Lonchura striata: one gene and its partner. The protein of the gene in region 1 interacts with the protein of each later gene in a biochemical or structural test. Links are inferred from orthologs where the notes say so. Each region holds a gene or a part of one and is shown in the gene's direction. Other genes may lie near its edges. The genes, in order: SEMA4D and B-cell differentiation antigen CD72.

Evidence for each region.
Region 2: the proteins of SEMA4D (region 1) and B-cell differentiation antigen CD72 form a complex in vitro, tested with the Homo sapiens proteins (2 studies listed by BioGRID and IntAct). The link is inferred for Lonchura striata from reciprocal best matches to the Homo sapiens genes SEMA4D and CD72.

The regions. Positions count from the first base shown.
Region 1 is NC_134642.1:8,235,448-8,246,149, forward strand, and holds the start of SEMA4D (semaphorin-4D), read left to right. Parts: upstream 1-6,487; 5' UTR 6,488-6,558; intron 6,559-6,907; exon of another isoform or gene 6,908-6,925; intron 6,926-6,966; exon of another isoform or gene 6,967-7,234; 5' UTR 7,235-7,284; intron 7,285-10,702. UniProt on the Homo sapiens protein: Cell surface receptor for PLXNB1 and PLXNB2 that plays an important role in cell-cell signaling. Regulates GABAergic synapse development. Promotes the development of inhibitory synapses in a PLXNB1-dependent manner.
Region 2 is NC_134642.1:39,734,549-39,745,124, forward strand, and holds B-cell differentiation antigen CD72, read left to right. Parts: upstream 1-5,772; coding exon 5,773-5,851; intron 5,852-5,936; coding exon 5,937-6,026; intron 6,027-6,237; coding exon 6,238-6,324; intron 6,325-6,847; coding exon 6,848-7,162; intron 7,163-7,401; coding exon 7,402-7,550; intron 7,551-7,883; coding exon 7,884-8,026; intron 8,027-8,912; coding exon 8,913-9,051; downstream 9,052-10,576. Other genes in the region: B-cell differentiation antigen CD72-like, read right to left, coding at 1,501-1,630, 2,003-2,049, 2,271-2,419, 2,549-2,863, 3,749-3,850, 3,945-4,071. UniProt on the Homo sapiens protein: Co-receptor of B cell receptor (BCR) that plays both positive and negative roles on B-cell functions. Recognizes the Sm/ribonucleoprotein (RNP) self-antigen ligand, and coligation of CD72 and BCR inhibits BCR signaling.

The DNA.
Region 1 (10,702 bases):
AATCTACAGAGAAGAAGTTGTTCCCATATTATTTCATCTTTCATTTTGAAATCAAATTGTTTCATCTGTAATTGAATATATGTGTTTTTTAGTGTTAATTAACAAATACTAATTTTCAAAATGAGAAGACCTTCAGAAAAAAAACTTTTGGCTAATGGATAAAAGCTTGATCAACTTGTTAATTTTAGTTACAAAATCAGTGTTTAATCACAGGAACTGAAGCTCTTTTGTTGTAAGTAGTTTTTGTTAAGCGATGGAAAATTTTCAGTATTATATAAAAATAAGCTCAATTTGCTCTGCTATAAGACTTGTGCTTCCTCTTCTTCCCAAAATTTTTTTTTTTTTTAAATTTTCCTTTATGATCTGGCAGTTCGGCAGAAACACGAATAAAGAACTTCTAAGGAGGGGAATGTTTTAGACAGATAAAAGACATCTTTTCCTGATAGCCAAACCTCTTGATGCACTTTGAAGGCAGTAATCATCAGTCTTTGAATTTTTCTTTCCTTTTCGGGGAGGACAGCTAGATGGAGATGCTTAAAATGACCTTTTAAAATGATCTTTGTAAGTATATTGTCAAAGACTAGCCTTGGTTCCTTCCAACCTATCTTTTATTTTTCCTTTTGTTACTCCCTGGAACAGAGCTCTTTGTCCCCAAAGGGGTTTGATAGTAGCAAATTGCTCATATCAGCTTAGAAAAACTCATCCTCTCCTGTACTGTATGTCCTTTTATTTAATTTATAATAGTGAGGCAATTGGATCCTTGGCTTTGTTCTCTATATAAAGTAACAGAAACCTAATAGGAGCAACCAGTGGAAAGGAAAACCTTACTCTAGGGCAGGGAAAAAAATGTCCCTGTGACAGACATCACAGTGGGAAATCATGACCTGGTTTAGCTTCAGTCAAGGAGTGGTTATTGGGGCGACTTAGTTCAAGAAGCAAGTTACATCAGGTTTTTGCATTTTTTGGGAGTGAGAAGGACAAAAGATGTCAGCACAAAGAAAAAAAAAAATCACACAAGGAGAAGAAAGCAGTCTGCTTTCACTTTTTATTTCACTTTTTATTCACAGTATATTTCCACTGCTGGCTTCTCATTTTGCACATTCATGGTTGTCCAAGTGTTGACAGGAATCAATTGGCTTGTCATTACTTGAGATAGATGCCCTGTACAGGAACAGGAGCAACTATGAGATTCATGCTTTAACATTAATATTGCTTTTCTATCAAGGTTCAAAGCTGGGAGTGTACAGGTGTTAGCTGGGTAACTCAGCAGAAATAACAGTCAAAGGTAGTTACAGACATTGGTACAAGTTAAAGAATCCCACTAGTCTTGTGATCCTCTCCAAGTAAACTGTGTGCATGGAAAGTAACTGAACTAGAATGCTATTCTGATTGATAAAAAGGCAGACTTTTCACTCACTACTCTGATGATCCATTCCCCTCTTCTCAGGCCACACTGTGATCAGAGACATGCACACATAAAAGAGACAGGTCTGTGACTACTGTCTTTTACAATCAAGTTTGTCACAAGAAAAATCTTCTGTAATTCCACTTCTTAATTTGTTTTTGTAAAGCATCATATTAAGTTATTCTTCTACTAAAAAATGTAAGGAAAATAAGAAAACATCATAAAATACTGTAATAATGCAGGCAATAAAAATGTAAGGTCCATACAGGAAGAATGCAAGCTTAGTATAAGTTTCTAAATGTCTTAATCCACTATTCTCAAACCCTACATTTGCTTTTCCTGTATTAACAACAGAACACTTTTGTTACCTCTCTGGTTTCATATTTATTCATGACTAGCACATGTTACTCCACACCAATAGTTTGATATTGGTATTATATGTATGAAAACCACGTAATCAGAAATGATTCCTGTGATTGGTGATGACTCCATTAAACAATTTTCATTACTTTGATCTTTTTGGAAATGTAAATGCATTTTCAAAAAACATAAAAACAATATATTGAGTTTTAGTTTCTTCATTATTCTTAATGTACTCCATTATTGATGTTGCCTCATTGACCTTGTCCCCTGAGGTAAGCACTGCTGACACCTTTTTTATTATTTTTCTCATTAATAAACATGGCCTTCTCTAGGCCATGCACTTCTTCCGCCATGTAGAGTGGATAAAGCGTCTTTTATCATTCATTTTTTATTCATTGATTGTTGATTCTAAGTCTTTCCATGCCATCTTCCTACGAAAAGACCACTGGACTGGTTAGTTTCTTAATTTTGTAAGCATGCACATAACTGAGCTGTTGGTGTAAGACTTACAGGCTCCATATTTGGACACTGGTAAGTGAAAACACAAAATATTTGTTGCTGTTGTTTTGCCTATGAGCAAAGTATGTTATTAATGTAACTTGCTAGTAATATCTCATTGTAAAATACAAATGCTGACCCAGCATCAGAATGAGAGGAATCCCTACCACTTTTGCAATCCTTCTCCAAATCCACCATGTCCCTTATCCTTTTAGCAAACTTTCTAACAGGCTGTGCTGTGACATTTAATAGACTAGACTGCAGATGTCTAACTAATGGTTAGACATTAACCTACAGTGTAGCTCCCCTAAATCTGTTATTCCAGATTAGGAAATGAAATGGAAAATATTCTCTGTGACCTTTACAGTGCTCTTAGCCACACAGATCCACCAAAGGCAGAGAAAAAGACCTTCTTCCTCTGCCACGTCATCCAGACATGCACTTCCCCTACTCTACATCATCTAAATGCAGATGTCTGTGTAGCATTTACTTAGCTCCCTCTTCTCCTGTCTTAGGCATACAAACATGGTAAATACAGGGACAGTTTTAAAGTCTCTGAGTGTATAATTGCCATGTTTATCCATAATGATATAGGAAGTCTTCAGCCCAAAGAAACCCAAAAAACCCCAAGGTCAGGAGATAAAACTCCTTGACTATTATAATTTAGTTTCACTGCCTCTGTAATTGCAAAGTGAAGTCAATGCATTTTCTCTGCCTGATGGGGAGGATACAAAAGTAAAAGGTCAAGGCTTTATCCATCTGTGGTTCTGTCACTCACCTACTGTATAATCTTGCACAAATCACTTTGAGCAGTTGTGTATCAGGTTCCTAACTAGGACAGTTAATGGCATCTTCCTGCTCTGCAAATAATTTTACATCTATGTCAATTCTAGTAGCTTAATAATGTTAATCAATATTAATTTACTGGACAATGCTTTTAGATGCCTTTTGTGTGCTTACTTTTCTGTACTAAGGTTTCCAAAACTGTTTTTATTGTCATGACTGTAAAATGTATTTTAAATCTTTATTTTTATTATGTTATTTTCCCAAAATTGGTAGTGAAAAGGGATTTTTTTTCAGCAATGTGTGCTCTTTTCCTCTAATGCTGGCTTATATCAATGATGAGTGATTTGAAAAGTCACGCCATCATAGCAATATAAAGGTGTAGCTTGAAACCTTGACTTTATTCAGAATTGTTCACAGTTGCACTCATTCAACCCAACTATTTTTTACTTTATTCTCTCATCTATTCATTCTCTCACGCACCCTGCTACTGACCTATTCCCTGTATTATGTATCGGTTTGCAAACCTCTGGGCATGTTCAATGCCCTTTTCACTGACTTACTAAAAACCTACCACCTGTTCACTCACTCACTCTTGGACAGACCTGCCCTCAGCCTCAGACCTGGCTTCTGAGACAGTTTTAGTCTCTCTCAGTCCTGACTCTGCTCCTGTATCTTCTATCCTGCAGCCTATTTGTTTGTGAGTTTAATTAAGGACTGCAGGTTTAAGAGCACCATCAGTTGTTACAGCTTTCTTTAACCCCTTTTTCTTTCTTAATTGCTTATTTATTTTTCCTGGCACAGATTTGACACAGCTTGCCTAGACTTAAAATACCTGTCTGTATATTCAACCCCAACACATTGTCTGAAGTAAATGTGTTAGGACTGAGGCAGTCTTTATATACTATTACTTTGCAGAAAGCATTATGTGTCCTTTTGAAGATTAGACTTTATTATGCTTATAGTAAAGGTTTTTAAAAGCATGTTTCCTCCATGTCCTTGGAATACCCATTATGGAATTGATGTGGACATGTATTAACAATTGTTCATTATTTGATCTCATTGCAACAGCATGCAGCATTTGGGAGATTATTATATTTTTTTGGAAAACAAAATCAGTTATAATTACTATGAGGACCAGTGTCTTCAGCCCTACATCACTAGCTCAGATTAATATACAACCCAGATTAGCATTACAGACCTCTGGAAACTTCTCAAATCTGTGTCAGAGGCCATTTGTTTTTTATTCCTGTGAAATAAATGACTTATAATTGTAACCAAAAGGAATTTTCAGTGGTGCAATTCATGGTACCAGCTGTAAGTTCCCAACACTGTTATTACTAGTGTTTTCTTTTTCCCATCAAATCCCATTTGGTAATATATACTTGAAAGAAGGGTCTAAATGTGATTGAGAATTTGCCATTTGACAAGGTACAAATATCAATTCCTTGTTTCACCTCCAACCTTCAAGTCTGTAAGACTCTCCAGGTTTCACTGAGAATGGAGATTGAAAGCTACTTCATAAAAATTAACAATATAATTCTTAAAAGGTAATGACGTATTACTTGGATAGAGTCAGAAATAATGGGAATTTTGTGTTTGTGCTAGCCTTTGCTCCAGTTCCCTTGTGCCACTCCCTGGTTTTGGAAATTTGTACAGACTGCAGGCTTCATGGGGAAACCTGACAAAATCCCTGTGATTTTTCTACTCAGAGCTAAGAATTGCCCAAGTCTAGATTCTGTAAAATGAGAGATTAAAAAAGCATCTTTGTTTCTTCCCTTGTAATATAATTTCATAGTTGTATTCCCTCAGGACATGCTTAAAGTCTTGTCTACACTGGAGGGTTTTGTCAGCATATTAATACCAGCAGTGAGTCCCAGTGGAGATGCAGGTTAATCTTCTGATGGTATAAATTATGGCAATTTACCAAATACAGTATGATAAGGATTTTTTACCATGCTACTGTATTTTCAGCAAGGATTTTCTGGCACGGGTTCATTTCACCCTCTCATTTATGCCCCTTTCGGACTCAGGTTAATCATCAGAAGTGGTTCTGCCCCTTCCTTGCAGACCATGTCTTCTCAGCCGCTCCTGCTGCCATCTCCCAGATGATTATGGGTATGATTACTTTCTTTTCCATGCTTCACATCCAATGTTTTGATGGCATTACGACCATATTTGATGTCAATGGCGTGATGAACACTGGTTATCCATTGTTAAGATGGACTGTTACATCACCATTTTGAAAATGTAGTGCAGGAAAACTCGTTTCCCACTGTTTACCACACAACAGACTGTTTGCCGGCTATGCTAGTAGCCTCCTTCAGATGCTACCATTTCGTAGACCCTGAAATATCAAGGTTGCTTTGCATGTAACTTCCTTAATCTGAAGTTATTACCATGCCTCCATGCTTTAAGAGGCTAGATCTCCTCAATGATTTCTTCCTGATGTTATTTCTTACCTACAGCTAATATGAATTATTAGAGATTGACTAGCATGTTATTGTAAAAATACAGTATTGTGAAATGCCGGAATTTAAAGGTCAGGCAGTAAAGCAAGTGCTATTGTCTGACAAGCTAAATATTTTGTCCAGTCTTGCTTCAATGACTACTGCTAACCAAACTATGGCAATTTCATGACACTGGTATCACCTGTTCCGCAGCAATAAAACAAACCAAACCCCAATCCAAAACCAGAGACCCATGTGTCGGTCCATGCCATTCATCTGAACAGTCACACCAGGCGTGCAGGGACATGACGGTAATCAATAGCTCATCAGTGACTCAGCAGGATCACCGCGGGTGAGATCTGTGCATTTACTGACCTATTTTCTGTCCTCCTTTCATATACCGCCGAGCAGTCACCTAAGCGCACCTATGCCTCTAAGGTGCAGTAATTCTAGTAGCAACGGCTTATGACACGAGTTATTTCACTCCCATGGTACCAGGCTGGATCCCAGGTGCGGTTTTCCCTGCGGTCTGCGGCGAGCGGATCCCCCGTGCCCGCGGAGGGGCGGAGGAGGAGCGGCGGAACGCGACAAGCGGCGCTGGGTGCGAGGGCGGCGGCGGCTCCGGCCCGGCCGAGCCGCGGGACGCCGCACCTGCTTTCGGCAGGGACAGCCCCAGGGACGGGCGGGGGCAGCGGTTCCGCCGCCGCCGAGGCCGGCTGGTGTCCCAGCGCCGCCGCCGTTAACGGGGCCGCGCCGCCCGCGGGGGAAGGGCCGAGCACCACCGAGCTGAGGGCGGCTCGGGCCCCCGCCAAACCCCCGGGAGCCAGCCCAGCCGGGCCCGCCCCCAGCTCCGCTCGGCCGCCATACTGCGGGGCGACCCAAACTTGTTACACCTCCTCCTCCTCCTCCTCCTCCTCCTCCTGCCGCCGCCGCCGCTCCCGCCGCCGGCCTGCCCCCAGCGGCGCGGGAGGAGGGGGCTGCGCCGGCCCAGCCCCAGCCGCGGGGAGGGCGCCGAGGCGGGCGGGGGCCGTGCGAGGGGAGCGCCGCAGCGCCCCGCAGGTAGGAGCGCCCGGCGGGGCGGGCCGGGCCGCGGGAGGCGGCGGGCGGGAGCGTTCCGTCGCTGGGGCAGCGACCGTCCGGCCCCGCCGAGGTGGGGCTGCGGGAGCCGGGCGCGGGCGGCGCGGCCGCCCCTACGGAACGCAGCCCGTCCTGCCGCCTGACGGGGCCCGGCCGCCGCCGCGCTCGGGCGGGGGGCGAGGGCGCTGGCAGCCCCCGCCGGCCACGGGGCCGGAGCGAGACGAGAGGAGGAGCCTGCAGCCGTAGCAAATGAGCGAGGGCTGCCAGGTTTATAAATCTGCTTTTCCTCCCCCCCCTCCGAGCCCCGCTGACTCCGGCGGCGACGGGCGGGCGGCTGCGGCTCCGCCAGGTGCGTGCCCGGGGTGGCGGTCGGGGCCCCGCCGTCCGCGCCTGCCGCACCTGCCGCGGGGGCGGGGGCGCGGCCGAGGGTGGTGAGGATGGATGCGGGGCGTTCTCGCCCGGCTGAGGAGCAGTCGGTTTCCAAGGGCCAGCAGCTCAGGTTGCCAGGAGTGTGTCCCGGCGCTTCGGGGAGGCCGCTGTCTGCTGGGAGCCGCCGTCCCTCGCTGAGCGAAGAGCCGTGCGCGATACCGGGTGCTTGCTGTCGGGTAACCGGCTGCACGTGTTCTGAAGCGCTGTTATGTGCTGCTTTATTTTTTAGCTGTCAGGAGAGTTTGAATCGGGTCTCCGCGGAGGTGCTGAGTTTGCAAGGTACGTGTGAAGAGAGTGTCTTCTGTCCCCATTTGCCTTTTCGGCTAATTCCGAGAGGATGTCTTCACTGCTTCCCGGAGGTGTGGGTTATTGCGTGGTGTTTTCTGCGTATACACAAATACGCATCATGGGCGTTTAAGGGAGAGGATTTGAGTGGATGAATGCAGCCGTGGTAACTTCATTGTTGCAGGTCCTTTCTATTACATGACTGCCTTTAGCAGGGAGGGGAGTAGAATTTTGATCCTGCCCTGGTGTAGTCCGGAACCTGATGGATCTGTAGATTGAAGGGATTTTTGAAGTCTGCTTTCCGGTTTAATGCTGAAACATTTTCCTATTTTCCTTCATGTCTTTATTGTCATGTACCTCTTACGGAGAGTTACTTCGGCTTAAAAATGTTTAAACCTTTAAGTTTATAGCACTCAGGTATTTCTAGTAGCTCTGAAAATCAATGTAGCAATAATGCATCTTTTTTAAACAAAATTAGAATTCTCACAGTAATTAGCACACGTCTTTTGAATGCTGTGTGCCCATCAGGCTCAGAAATAGCTACTGATCTCATACTCCCTTTTGGATACCTGTATGAAGGTTTTGTTAGAGAACAGTTTAATGACTTCTTTTATTAGAAAGAGTGCGAGCTCAGGCAATTACGCAAGTGCGCCTAAAGGAAGCTGTGCTGGCTGCGTGGATGGCGAATGTGGAGGCCGAGCCGGAGTGGGAGTATCATTTACAAACGGAGTCAGAAAGGGGCATTGTAAGGGAGAGCCGAGTGGCTCGTGTCGGGTGAAACACTGTACGTAGGGAGGAGTGTTTGTACCGTGTGCTGCCTGGGACGAGCAGGCCATGTATGGATGGCCACTCATTCTTTCTGGTAGCAGAGATGAGTTATAGGTGGCTATTTCCACTGGAAGCAAACGGATGGCATGGGAATGTGTTACTGCGTTTATATTCTTAGAGGATTGACAGATGAACTCTGTCTTTACTATCATCTCTTGGTGTGTAGAGGGAGTATTTCACCATCTCTCTCCTCCTCTGAAATGATTACATTATATACCTTTATCTGTGATCCAGGATTGCTACAGAGTCTGCTGACAAAAGCTGCTTCCATTCATACCTACCAAAATAGGTCTATACTGGTTTTTAAATTTCTCTTGTGTTTTTTTAAGAAGCAAAAACCATTGTAGCTAGTGGGGAGGGCAGTAGCTACTTCCACAACAAATTAAGTGTTTGATATGAATGGTTCTGTTTCGAAACTCGAACACTGATTCATAGGTTTTTCTGGACACTTAAGTACAGGTGTGCCCACAGGCTTAATTTAATATGCTGTGTTGCCATCTCTCTGCTGGTATTATGATTCAGTCTCCTCTCCTCCCCCCCAGCCCAGTCCCTGCATAAACAGCTATCACATTGAACACTTGATAACTTTTCTTGTTAACCTTGTATGGATACAGCAGTACCCTGCCAAAATGTGTGGATTTATACCACTAAGAGGTCCTGCAAACAGAAGAGATGTTCTGGATGCCCTGGCGCATCCCATATTGGCCTGCCTCCTGAGCAGCTGAGCCTCAAAGTTCCCTGCTCCATGCAGCCTTTTGCTGGGGCGAGCTGGAGAACTCCAGAGGATCTGTCATTTGCTGAAGGCCACTTGGGTGGAGTTGAAGGCTGCACTGTGCTTGCTCTGCAGCACACTCTTGTCCTCTCTCCTAGCTGTTTTAGGGGGTGTGTGCTAAATGAATATTTTTGTTTTAAAATGCATTTTCCTAGCTGTTCTCTTGCAGTGAAGCAAGTGGGAGGTCTCTTTCAGTCCATGTCAAAATCAGTTCTTATTCTGGGCTGCTAGCATTAGATTTAATACTTGCATATGTCACCTGCTTTGCAGAAGGTGTTGAATAAGTTGATAGGTGGTTGTTCCATAATCTCATTTTTAAGGATGGCTTTTTAAAATAGGACTCTAAATCAGTAGAAATAAAATCTTGGAGCATTTCTATCATACTTACATTACCTTGGAACTCCACCAATTGTTTTTAGCTTTGGTTTTCTCCAGGAAAAAGGGAATTCCAAGCTAGTTGTTGCAATAGGGATTTTGTAGGTAACCAGAATATAAAGTTCTGAATGTGCAGAGGTGAAGTTACTTACGCCAGGTTTTGCTGTGCAAAGGTAATGAAATAATTACCAAAGTTGACTAACATGTCTTTTAAGCCTCCAGTGCTTCCAAATGTTGGGTCTTGTTGAATTCTTATTCTGTGATTTAAATGAGTTGAAAAGTAGCTTCTGAAGGTATATGACCATGAAAGCATTATTCATGATGGGTGGTGATCTACTATGAGTCTTACTAAACTAAAAATCAAGTACTTGTAGACATGACTGAGACAATTTTTCACAGTATTTTAAATTCTGGGTAGCATGTAAGAGTAAGGCTGGAGATTTAAAGAAACAAAAACAAGGAAAGCAGATAGGAAACTTTCATTGTGGTAATATTAAACAGTTTGGTGAGGGAGTGTTCTCTGTTGTGTCTTATACTCAGTTGCTGTATGCTATGTTAATTAACTGAAGAAAGGTATGCTCATTTGGGAACCTGCATAATAAACAAGGAGCTGGGAAGTGCTTTTGGCCTTTTGTTTGGTTGCTTTTTCTCTAAAGTTTTCTGCCTCCTTTTTTCTAACTAGTCATTTCTCTGATGATAAAGCATTATTTTCTAAGGTTTTCTTCATCTGGCTTTGCTTAGTAGTCGTGTGCTTGAGTGTCTAGGTAGATAGATAAAAGAAATGTATTGAAAAGCATGAGAAAACTTTACTTGTGTCCTGAGCTTGGGAGGATGAAGTGGCTGAAGAGCTGCTTTTCAGTGGAGCATACAACTCAACTTCTGGTTGAGTACCAGGTGGAGCTTGGGAATGCCAAAAGGCACCACTGAAGCTTCCATTTGCAGTTAACTTGCCAGTGTGTTGATACAGCTGTGCGGGATAGATGTGGAAGCTGTTTTAATTGTTTTCCTTCTGATACGGAGGTTTTGTCCTTGTTTCTTGGATGATTTGATGAAAGGAACCAAGAATTACTTTTCCTGTTCTCATAGCTCTGCAGCTACAAAGAGAAAAAGTAGAACCTCCTATTTCAGACTAATGTGTGCTGTCATCCAGGATTGGGAAGTTACAGATCTTGCTGTCCAGAACTGAATTAATGAGGTCTTACATTTAATTGTATTCTGGCCAAAAAGCTTTTATATTCTTTTATCTTCCTGTAAAGTTCCAGGAATGCAAAAGCCTGTTTAGCTTCTGGGTGTGCTGCTGTAGCCTGGTTTCACCATGAGGGAAGATGCTGCCTGCAGTTACAAGTGTGTTGAGCGCCTCTTCTAGCCAAGGGTGTCCAAGAGCTGCTCTGTTTCCTCCTGCTCCCTGTAACACCAAGTTGTGGTGCAGCAAGCTTC
Region 2 (10,576 bases), about 31 Mb from region 1:
GGGGTTGTTCCAGCCCTTTGCCATGATGCTCCCAAGGGCCACTCCTCAAGTTTCTCCAGGTCCCACTGGATGGCATCCTGTCTTCATGTGTGTCAAACCACTCCAGCATGATGTAACTTGCAAACTTGCAGGTTGAGGGTGCAGTTGATCCCACTGTTCACATTGTTGACAGAAGTACTAAATAAGACTGGTCCCAAGGTGGATCCCTGAGGGCCAACATTATCACCAGTGTTCCCATGAGGACACTGAGCCATTGACCATTCTCTTCTGGATGCAGCTGTCCAACATTGCCCACTGAACAGTTCACCCATTGACTCCATTTATCTCAAGTTCAGAGGAGGACTGTGTTGAAGGCTTTACAGAAGTCCAGACAGAAGACACGCATAGCCCTCTCCTTGTTCACTGATGCAATCACTCCATTGTAGAAGGCCACTGGGTTGGTTGGGCAGGACTTGTGGTGAAGGGTGCTGGCTGTCTCAGGTCCACCTTAGCTAAATGGTTGCCATCACATTCCTCTCTCTGCAGAAACACTGACTGAGACAGGGAGGGTCAGAGCTGTTTCTGGACTCCCCCCACACCCCAACTGGGTCCTGGACTGAAGTGTCTTATCACCCTCCTTTGGCAGATAAGGTCCCACCACATTCTTAGGTATCTTTCCTCCTTGGTGGGAGGGGTCTCCCCTTTTCCTTATGTTCCCAAGTCTCCCTAGTGGTTCTTCCTCTCTCCCACTGTCTTATCAGTGCACCTTCATTTTTTCAGGACCACCCTCATTTGCAGTTCCACTGCACTCCCTTTCTTTCCGTGGTCTCAGGATTTCCACATTCACCTCCCAGGGTTTTAGGGCTCTTCATTGCCCTCATTTTCCTCCCATGGTTTCAGAGTTTCCTCATTCATCCACCATGTTCTCAAAACTCCCCAGCACTCCCCCACTTCTTATATGGTCTCTGGGCTTCCCAGCATTTTCTCATGCTGATGGCCTTACTGTCAGCACCCTTTCCAGGTAGGACCCAGCACAAAGCCCTGGGCAGGTGATGAAGACAGAAGAAACGTCAGGAAAAGAGCTGTGAATGCTGAGAGAAGGGACAGGCTGTAAATCCACAGGTCTCCCCAAAATGGACAGTTTGAGAACATCAGTGTGTCAACCCTCAGCTCCAAAAATACGCAAATGGCAGATCCTGTACCCCAGCAGCCTTGGGGTAACAAAGAAGGTGAGAGCTGGGCTCGGCGCTGGAGACCTGGGTCAGAGCTGCATTAGCCAGAGCACACAGGGACATGCAGTGGTACAGTACAAAGCAGTATAATGTGTGTTTGCATAAGTGTGGGAGAGTGGAATAAGGTCTATTTTCCACAATCCTTGCTTTAAAATAGAGACACTTTCTCCCAGCAGTTTTGCAACGCAATTGAGGCAAAGTGTTCACTGGAGAGAGGAACTCAGGGTGCACACCCAGGTCCTGTTCCTGAGTCCAGTGATGGAGGGAGGTGGCAGCAGTCAGTCCTTGGTCAAAAAAGAGATTGAGTCTCAGATGCACTGCTCAGCTTTGGGGATTTCTCGCAGATCCACTGGTAGGCATTGTCACAGTTCTTGCTCCACATTTCCCCATTAATTACTGACCAGCAATTAGTATGGCGTTTCCTAGGAAAGATGGCATATCTCAGGGCAGTAGTGACAACCTCCTCACCATGGACACCACTTCCCATAGATCCCGGTGCTGCTGGGGCAGGCAAGGCACCTGGCACAGAGATCACTCTTAGGAAGTGTCACATTCCTCCTCTTGCTCTACTTCTCTGCCACTTGGATATTTGGCACTGCACCCCACAGCTTGGCTCTACCCTCACCCCCCCTCCCTTGGGGCACTGGTCATGGAAATCCATCAACCCTTTTACCGAAGGGTGTCACAGGGGCAAAACAGCACCTCTCTAGTATGGCAAAAGGGCAGGTGCTTGTGCCAAGGACTCTTGCACTTACAAGGGAGGTTTGTTGTCCATCCATTCAGATCTCCTTGCCTTTCCTCCAATCCAGTAGTGTGCCTTAGATGCATGCATAAAATACTAGGGGGGAGAGAAATTGTCAACCACCTACTTCATGACCAGCACTTGCTAGGAGCCCAGGAGCCCCAGGGTTGGCTGTGCTTATCCCATCAGACTGCCAGGATGGGAATCTGGGGCTCATGGTGCCACCCTGGCACCTCCACAGATACTGCTGCAGCTAGCCCCATGGGGCTCTACCCAGCGCCACCCTCCTGGGGTACCACAACCCCCCTGCTCTGTACCGGCACTGTCAGTGGTGTCCAGTTATCTTGGACCATCAGTCGAGCCAATCTCTCTGCACAGTCCTCCCAGCTCTGCTCCCAGGTCTTGTTTGTCACTGAGATGAAGAGACACTTGCTCCTGAAGAGTACCCAGCCCCTGGGGCAGCAATCTGGGGGCAGGGGCACAGCTCAGACACTCATCCTTCTATGGATGCTTGGGGAGCTCAGCCTGGCTGAGTTCAGCCCCTTCATCTTTGCAGCAGCAACATCACCTGTGCCCCAACACTGTCACGCGCTACCTGTGTTAATGCAGGCAAGCAGGCTGCTCACAGTCCTCTCGCTGTTGTTGAGCTTCCATTGCACCACATGCATCTCCTCCCGCAACACAGCCAGCTCCTGCTGGGTATGCCCCAGCTCAGCATTGCTGCTTTTCAGCTGCAGCTGGCTGATGTTGCCCTCGTGCCATGCTCGCTGCAGCTCTTCTCTGGCCCATGCCAGCTCCAGTTGTATCTGTTCCAGGCTCTGCTCCCGCACCCTCAGCTCCTGTGTCAGGCGGCCCTGCTCGGACGCGTGCTCACGGGAGGAGTCCTGCAGGCTGCGGGTGACCTGCCAGTCTGGGAACAGGGTGGGTGAGCTGGACATGGGCATGGAGCCCTGCCTGGGTCATGCCTCTTGCAAGTGAGAGTAGGGATAAGAGTATCTGGCTGTGGGTGGAGATTGTCGTGGGGATGCTAGTGGGAAGGGAACAGAAGCCCCGGTGGTGGCAGGTGGAGGGGAGACATTGGAAAGCAGCGAGAGACAGTGGGAAGAAAAGGAGAATCAATGAGAAAGCTGTGGAAGGTGGTGGGAGGCAATGGGAAGCAGTGGGAAGGCAGCAGAAGGTGGTGGGAATAAAATGGGGAGGCAATGTGAGGCAGTGGGAGGAAGTGGAAGGAAGTGGAAGGCAATGTAAGACAGTGGGAAGTCAGTGGGAGAGAATGGGAGGCAGTGATGAGAAGGCAGTCAGAGGGATTAGGAGGCAATAACTAGGGAAGAGTAGAAGGCAGTGGGAGGAAATGGTTGGCAATGGGAGGCAGTGGGAAAACAGTGGGAGGAAATGGGAGGCATTCATAGAGAGTGGGAGGCAGTGGGAGGGATTGAGAAGCAGCAGAAGGCAGTAAGACAGCAGTGGGTAGCAGTGGGAAGACTATGAGAGGCAGCGAAGAGACAGTGACACGGAGTGGGAGGCGGTGGGAGGGATTGGCGGGAAGAAGGGGCAAGACCATGGGAAGGGGTGGGAGGCAGTGGGAAGTCAATGGAAGGCAGTGGAAAAGACATGGGGAGATACGGGCAGATAGTGGTAGGCAGTGGGAAAGGCAGCGGGAAGCAGCTGGTGGTGGCCATGCAAGAGCCCCAGGCACGCCTCCGCCCTGACAGCCCCCCAGCCCCTCGCCCAGCCCGACGCCCGCTCCCGGTGCCTCCTCCCGGCTGCCCCCACCCCGCGGCAGACACCGACTCACGGCAAGCCCCCAGGGCCACGACGGCCACAAACAGCAGCAGCAGCAGGAGCAGGCTGGCTGCCAGCAGCGCTGTCGGGACGCGCCATCGCCGGGTCCAGCGCCCTGCAAGAGAGGAGCGCCCGCAGGCATCACGCCGTGGTCCCTGGCGCCTCCTGCGCCGGGGCTGCCCGCGGCAGCGGCTGCTGCCCGGTCGCACCTGCGCTGGGCGCTGCTGCCGCCGGCCCCAGCGGCACGTTCTCGTACGGGCTGTCATCCTCGTCGGGAGCGGTGGATGAGGGCCCCGTGGCAAACTTCAGGTCAGCATACACCACACTCTGGGCCATGTCCCGGGCGGTCCCGATGGCCCTGCGGGCTCTGCTCTGCTTCGAATGAAAACTGCAGCTGGTTTCTGTAGAAGCAGAAGTGTGCTGAGGTGCGACGGAGAGGAAAGTACGGCCGCGGCACCGGCGCCCTGCCATTGGCCAGGCACCACCATCTCGCTTCCTTCCACCCCCCAAAACTGCTCAGTGTCCCTTGGGGATGGCGTTGGGGCGGTGCAGCTCGGGGCTGGAGCATGGGGCAGAGCTGTAGGGCTCGGCCTACAGAGAATTCACCAAATTTCCTAGGGCAGGGGAAAGCAGGTCTGGCTTCCAGCTAGGAATAGGGAGGTCTGCTGCTGACTCTATCCAGGATGGAGGTTCCCTCTTCTTGGTGCTCTGGTCCAGGATCTGAGCATCGCTGCCCTGATGCCTAAAAGAGACTTCCACATTGCAGCATGAGCTTTCACTTCTCCTCTCATCACGGCCACATGTCTCCATTCTGCCACCAAGTACACTGTGGAAAACCGCATCCCAGATGCTGAAGGGTCATAATAAATGGTCCTGTTGCTTTCCCCTTGACCCCAGGCTAGTGCTTCCAAGCAGTAGGAGGTACATTGGGCAGTCACTCATTAAATGCCACTGGCCTTTCCCCTGCATGTCCTCTCTGGGTCTGGGCCCTTGCATGCCCAGGCAGATATGCTCCATTTTCTTCCAGGAGGTTGAGTAGAGGCTGCCCAAATTTTAGCTTTCTAAACCTCCTTCCTGTCCCCTTTGAAGCTGGCTTTGATTTTTGCCTTTCTCCACTGAGGAAGACCTTCCCTTGCTCTTGCAGAAATGAAGGACAGTGGCTATGTTACACTGCTCCATCAGCACCACTGTGCACCTCCAGTGCTGTCCCAGGGACTGGCTGTGTTCAGATGTGCCCATCTGAAAGACAGTGGGAGGCAATGGTAAGTCAGTGGAATGGAGAGGGAGGCAGTAGCAGGCAATGGGAAGCAGTGGGAGGGTTTGGGGACATCCCTTCTGAAACCTGCCTCTGGATGCAGTTCAGTAGAGACCTCTGAGACACTGAGGGCCTGGAGGGACCAGGAAGATGTTGTGAATCATGGGGTTGTGGTCTTGGGAATGGAAGGCAAAGGGGACGTCACTGATTTTTGTAACTCTCTGGGGCTGTTTTGGAGCAATGCCAAAGTTGGGGTCTTCATTGGAGGGGTCCAGGGAAGGGATGAGAGGTAGTGGAACAAAATACATCATGGGGAAAGTCCCATTCTCAGAGGCTAGGAGAGGAAATCTCTATCTGTGAATACCTCCAGCTTTTCATGGAGCTGTCACGCAGCAATTTGCTCCTGTATTCAGGATTGCCCTGCTCTGACTTGTAGACCACACATTTGGTCTATCCTTCGCTCTGCCCCTGCTGTGACACCTGGCTGTGCTGTCCTCATCCTGCCCTGTGCCTAGGGGGACCATGAGCACTTCTAGGGTGTGGGAGGGGACAGGCTGGTGTTTCTGTGACCAATGAGAGGGTGCTGGTCCCCACAGCCATGCCTCACTTCTCCCATCTGCTACAGTGCAGAGCAAACTTCTGCTTCTGCAGATGCTGGCTGCACTTCTCCTTTGCACCTCCAAGAGACGGCGCAATCACCGGGAACAGGGACATCTCAGAAAGGCATCCCAAGGGTGGAGCAGGAGCCAGCGAGGCTCAGGGCTTGCCCGGCATTTGCCCACATGGCCCAGCTTTATGCTGATCTGAGGTTTGCCAAAGTGATGGGAGGCCGGAGCATGGCCAGCCAGGAGCTGGAGGCAGGTGAGAGCCCACTGGCCCTGACACACTGTCCCTGCCATGCCCAGCCCCATGGCCTCAGCTACTCTCCCCTGCCTTCCTCCAACAGCCTTTGGCATGAATGAGGCAGAAAGCCCCTTCGAGAACATGCAGCCAGCACTGGCAGGGCAGGATGAGGATGGAGCAGAGCCCAACCCAGGTGAGTACCCAGCTGGATTCCAGCAGACACAGGATGGTTCCGGTGTAGGTTGTGGGTGGTATTCTGGGGTCCTCCCACTCCCATCACCCACACCATTCCATTTGTGCTGTCATGCCACCACTCTCCTGCCTGTATCCAAGAAGGAGGTCTGGGGGCTGTTAGGGGTTTTCCAGCTCTTCAGGTGATGTCTGTTGTCTGTTGTGTCATACAGGGTGCTGCTCTCGTTGGTGGTGCATCCCTGTGGGTCTGATGGTGACTTGCCTGCTGCTGGTGGCCACTGTGGCCCTGGGGGCTTGCTGTGAGTTGGAGGATTGTGAACATCTGGGGCAGGGAGTGGTTGGGTCAGGAAGGCATCTGGCTGGGGTAGGCACTGTGGGTGAATAGAGGCATGCTTATGCACACTCACTGCTAAGTCCCTATGCCCTGTCTGCCACAAGCTGGCCTATATCCCTCGCACATCCCTCACACCTCCTTTGCCTCCCATTACCCTCTTCCTAATTTTACTTTCCATTTCTGCTCCTTTTCTTTCCAATCCTGGCATTGTCCAGCCTCATTATTGCTGCACTCTTCCTGCCCTTAACCTGCTGTGTCTGCTCCTATATCCATCCTATATCCATCCTACCTTGTCCTGCTCTCCCCTGCCAGATCATGCCCAACCCTTAACTGTACACTTCCCTGCTGTGTCCTTCCCTCACATCTTTTCCCATTCATCATGGATAAACCTCTGCCTTGCCCTGCCCATCCCACCTCCCTTAAGCAGGGTCAGTCCCACATCCAAACTGTCCCATGCCCATGTCCAGCTCACCCACCCTCTTCCCCAGACTGGCAGGTCACCCGCAGCCTGCAGGACTCCTCCCGTGAGCACGCGTCCGAGCAGGGCCGCCTGTCACAGGAGCTGAGGGTGCGGGAGCAGAGCCTGGAGCAGACACAACTGGAGCTGGCATGGGCCAGAGAAGAGCTGCAGCGAGCATGGCACGAGGGCAACATCAGCCAGCTGCAGCTGGACAGACTGAACACGGAGCTGCGTCGCGTCACGGCGGTCCTAGGCAGGACAGAGAGGGAGGTGCAGGAGGTGCAGGGGAGGCTCAACAACAGCGAGAGCACAGTGGCCCTCCTGCGCTCCTGCACAGCTATAGGTAGGGTGGTGGAGAAGGGAGGGGGTGCTCTGGGTGACTGGCACCGCTCAGCAGGTGTCAAGGGGCAAGTACTGGCTTTTTTGACCACATGGTGGGGACAAGGTGGTTCAAGAGCTGAAGCAATGCCCGGAGCAGACACTGAGCCTGTGATGTCTGCTGGGAAGGTGTGGGACTGTTCCTTGTTACCCCCCAGGGTATCTGTGGCTGAGCAAGCCCCTCAGCTGTGTCCCTACCCATAGATTGCTGTCCTTCTGGCTGGCTGCTGTACAGGGGCAAATGCCTCTTCATCTCCTCGGAGAAGAAGACTTGGGAAGACAGCAGAGATGAGTGTGAGAAGACATATTCTCAGCTCCTGGTCACCAAATCCTGGAGTCGCTGGACTGTGCCGGTAGGGTGCTGGGGGAGCTGAGGGCAGGAGATGCTGTATCCAGCTATGAGGTCCCCAGATGGGCTAGCATGGTTCTGGGGACCCCTGTCCTGCCAAAACATTGGAGGGTACAAGGCTGTTCTCTGGAGCACATATCTGGTGGTTGACATGAGATAGAAAGGCTTTGGCATCCCTGGATGTTCCCCAGGCTGGAGCAGGGCACCAGGGCTGCTCAGCTGTCCTGACTCAAGGGGCTCCTTGGGGAGATGATCACCCCACTTTGAAGGATATACTATGGCAGTACATGGGTGCCATGGAATAAAACATGGAAAAGCACTTTTTCTTCTTCTCCAGACCTTCCTGAAGAATGCAGATGTCCCATACTGGATTGGGTTGCAGAAGGGCAATTTTCCTTGGTACGACTATGGCTGGCTGGAGGAAGAGGACCCAGAGGGTGAGGGGGCCTGGTTCTGGGTGGACGGCTCCCTTTATGAAAGGTATGTGGCAGCACTGCCTCTTCCCAAATATCCCGTCCTCTGGCATGGCTCTAGGAAGTGTTTTAAATCCCACCAGTAACTGGTTCCAGGCACAGGCCCTTGAAAACAAAGAACATCAGAGCAGCAGGGACTGAGGGAAGGTGGGTGCAATGGTGTGATGAGGCGCTTAGAGGACACGCAAATGGAAAGCCAAGACTAGGGGGTGGGTAAAATGCAGGGCATGTGAAGCAGGAGGCAGCAAGGAGTGGGAAGAAACCCCAGATTTTAATTGGGCCCTAGGCAAGGTGTTTGAGCACCACCTCTATCCCCCACATGCCTTCTTGATTCCTCTCCAAAGGGAGATAAGCCTCCCTGTCTGTGGAGAATCCTGGGCTGCTCCCTGCCACGTGCACCACCTCCTCAGCTCACTGATGCTTCCTCTTGCAGTGTCTGAGAGCACTGGGGAGGAACAAACCTGTCTGGCCAGGTTGTGGGCACCTGGCCCTCCATCCTCAGCCCTGCCATGGAGCTGTGCCCAGAACAGACCCAGGGCTCAGGCCAGCTCCTCTGGTCATTCACATGCCTTCAGGGAGGACCTGGCTCTCCCTATCGCAGGCATGGAACAACTGCCACCAGTGAAGCTGAGAAGGGGGAGGCTAAAGGGGTGTCTCAAGCACTGCAAACATTTTACAGTGTTTCTCAGCCTGCCCATGAAAGTGCAGGGATACATCAGCCGAGGCTTCAGCCTGTGAAATCAGTAGGGGAGGACTGGGGGATTCCCCTTTGCCTCCAGCATCTGACCACTCCTCTGCCAGTGTACAAAAGGCAGTTGTCAGCAGCCGCAGCTGCCTCAGCAGGGTTTGTAGAAAGAACATGTCAGTGCCTGATGTGTTGTTTCCCCATTCAGGCCATGGCAGTCAAAATCAAATGGAACCTGTGCCATAATAAGCCGTGGGAGCATCAAACCTGCCCAGTGCACTGGTCCCAGTGACCTGCACCTCTGGATCTGTGAGAAGGCAGCAGGGCCAAGCCTCCCTTTCATGTGATGGTGGCTGCTGGCCCCAGCACCGCTGTGGTGAGTCCTGCTGAGTCAGGGACACACGCTCTTTGGGGTGTGCCTCAAGGAAAGCAGGGAGCCCTGCAGCTCTGCATGGGGCATGGTGAGCCCCTCTCCCTTGGAAAGGCAGAGAAGTGCAGTCACCTCCCTGTGCTGGATGGAACCTGTCTCCATCCCTTCACTGCCATGGGCATTCTGGGTCTGAGGTAGCTCAAGACCTGAAGCTGTGGCTCAGCAAAAGGGGAAGATGGGGGAAAACCCTTGGCAAGGTGCTTTCCCAGCTCTGTTGCATGTGGTGGAGGCTGGGTAGCATCTCCCCCTTACCCTACCTCACCCTCCTCTGCTTTCCCTTGCAGCACCTGCATCTTGCACTGCCTCTGCTCCACCCTTGCTGTGCCCAGGATGTCCCATCCATTCCAGACAGCCACTTCCCTCCCACAGCCCACTGCTCCTGGGCCACCCAGGTCCTTCCTCCCAGGTCCTGATGCCCCGTGACCCTTTGCCTCCAGCTGATGTGCTTTGGCTGAGTGGTAGAGGCTCCACAGCCGACCCCACACCTGCATGGGACACTTTGGGTCTTCTGAGCACAATGGCTGGTGGGCAGTGGGGAGCTCGGAACTGGCTGCGGAGTGGATCAAGCACTGATAGTGCTGGAGCCATGCCACATCTCCAGCTGGAGAGAGCTGTGCTGCTGACATGTCAGGAGCGGGAGCTGGGGATAGCACAGCCCCACCCCCACACAGTTCCCTCCCCACAGCAGGAATTTTCCGCCCGACCCCACTGCAGGAGCAGCTTGACCACGGCTTTTCACCCAGCACTCAACGGCCTTGGCAAAGCCTCAGCACCTAAGGAGGGAAGCTGAGCCCGAACTGGCTGGTGCCTGTGCTGACATTTGGGGATTTTTTTTTTGCGCTAATTAGAAAGTAGAACAATGACCTTTAGGGTCCCATGGTGTGATTGCATCTTTCAAAAGCGAAAGTTAACTCAGGCACTTGTAGCAGGCTGACAGAGCAAGACAACTCATCAGGGCTTTAAATAGCTGCTACACACGTGCACATGTGAAGATTAAGCAAAGCAGCCCTGATGTAACACTGCAGCCAGGTGAGAGCACAGGAAGTTATGTTCAACCAGGCGAAAATGCTCTCGGTTTATGATAAGGTTGTGTGTGCCATATATAGTTGATGAACTGCTGTGTGAGTAAGCTTGCATGAAGAGCAAAAGGGTGTTAACGGCAGGCTTTTTGGAGGAGGCATGTGTTCCTCGTCTGTCTTGTCTGCTGGCTAGACTCGATAGCAATAAAGAGACACAGTTTGTCTGCTCTTTGTTTTCTTGTACACCACAGCAAACACGGACTCAAGGACATGAACCCAAAGAACCTAAATAATGAAAGGGAATTTGTCTGAAGCCATCTCAAGTCAAGATGGGTGCTTTAGGGGAATTGAAATAATGGGCTGAGCCAGGTTGGTTTGCAGTCCTGGAGGAGTCCCCCAGAATGCCCAGGCAAGACTATGCAA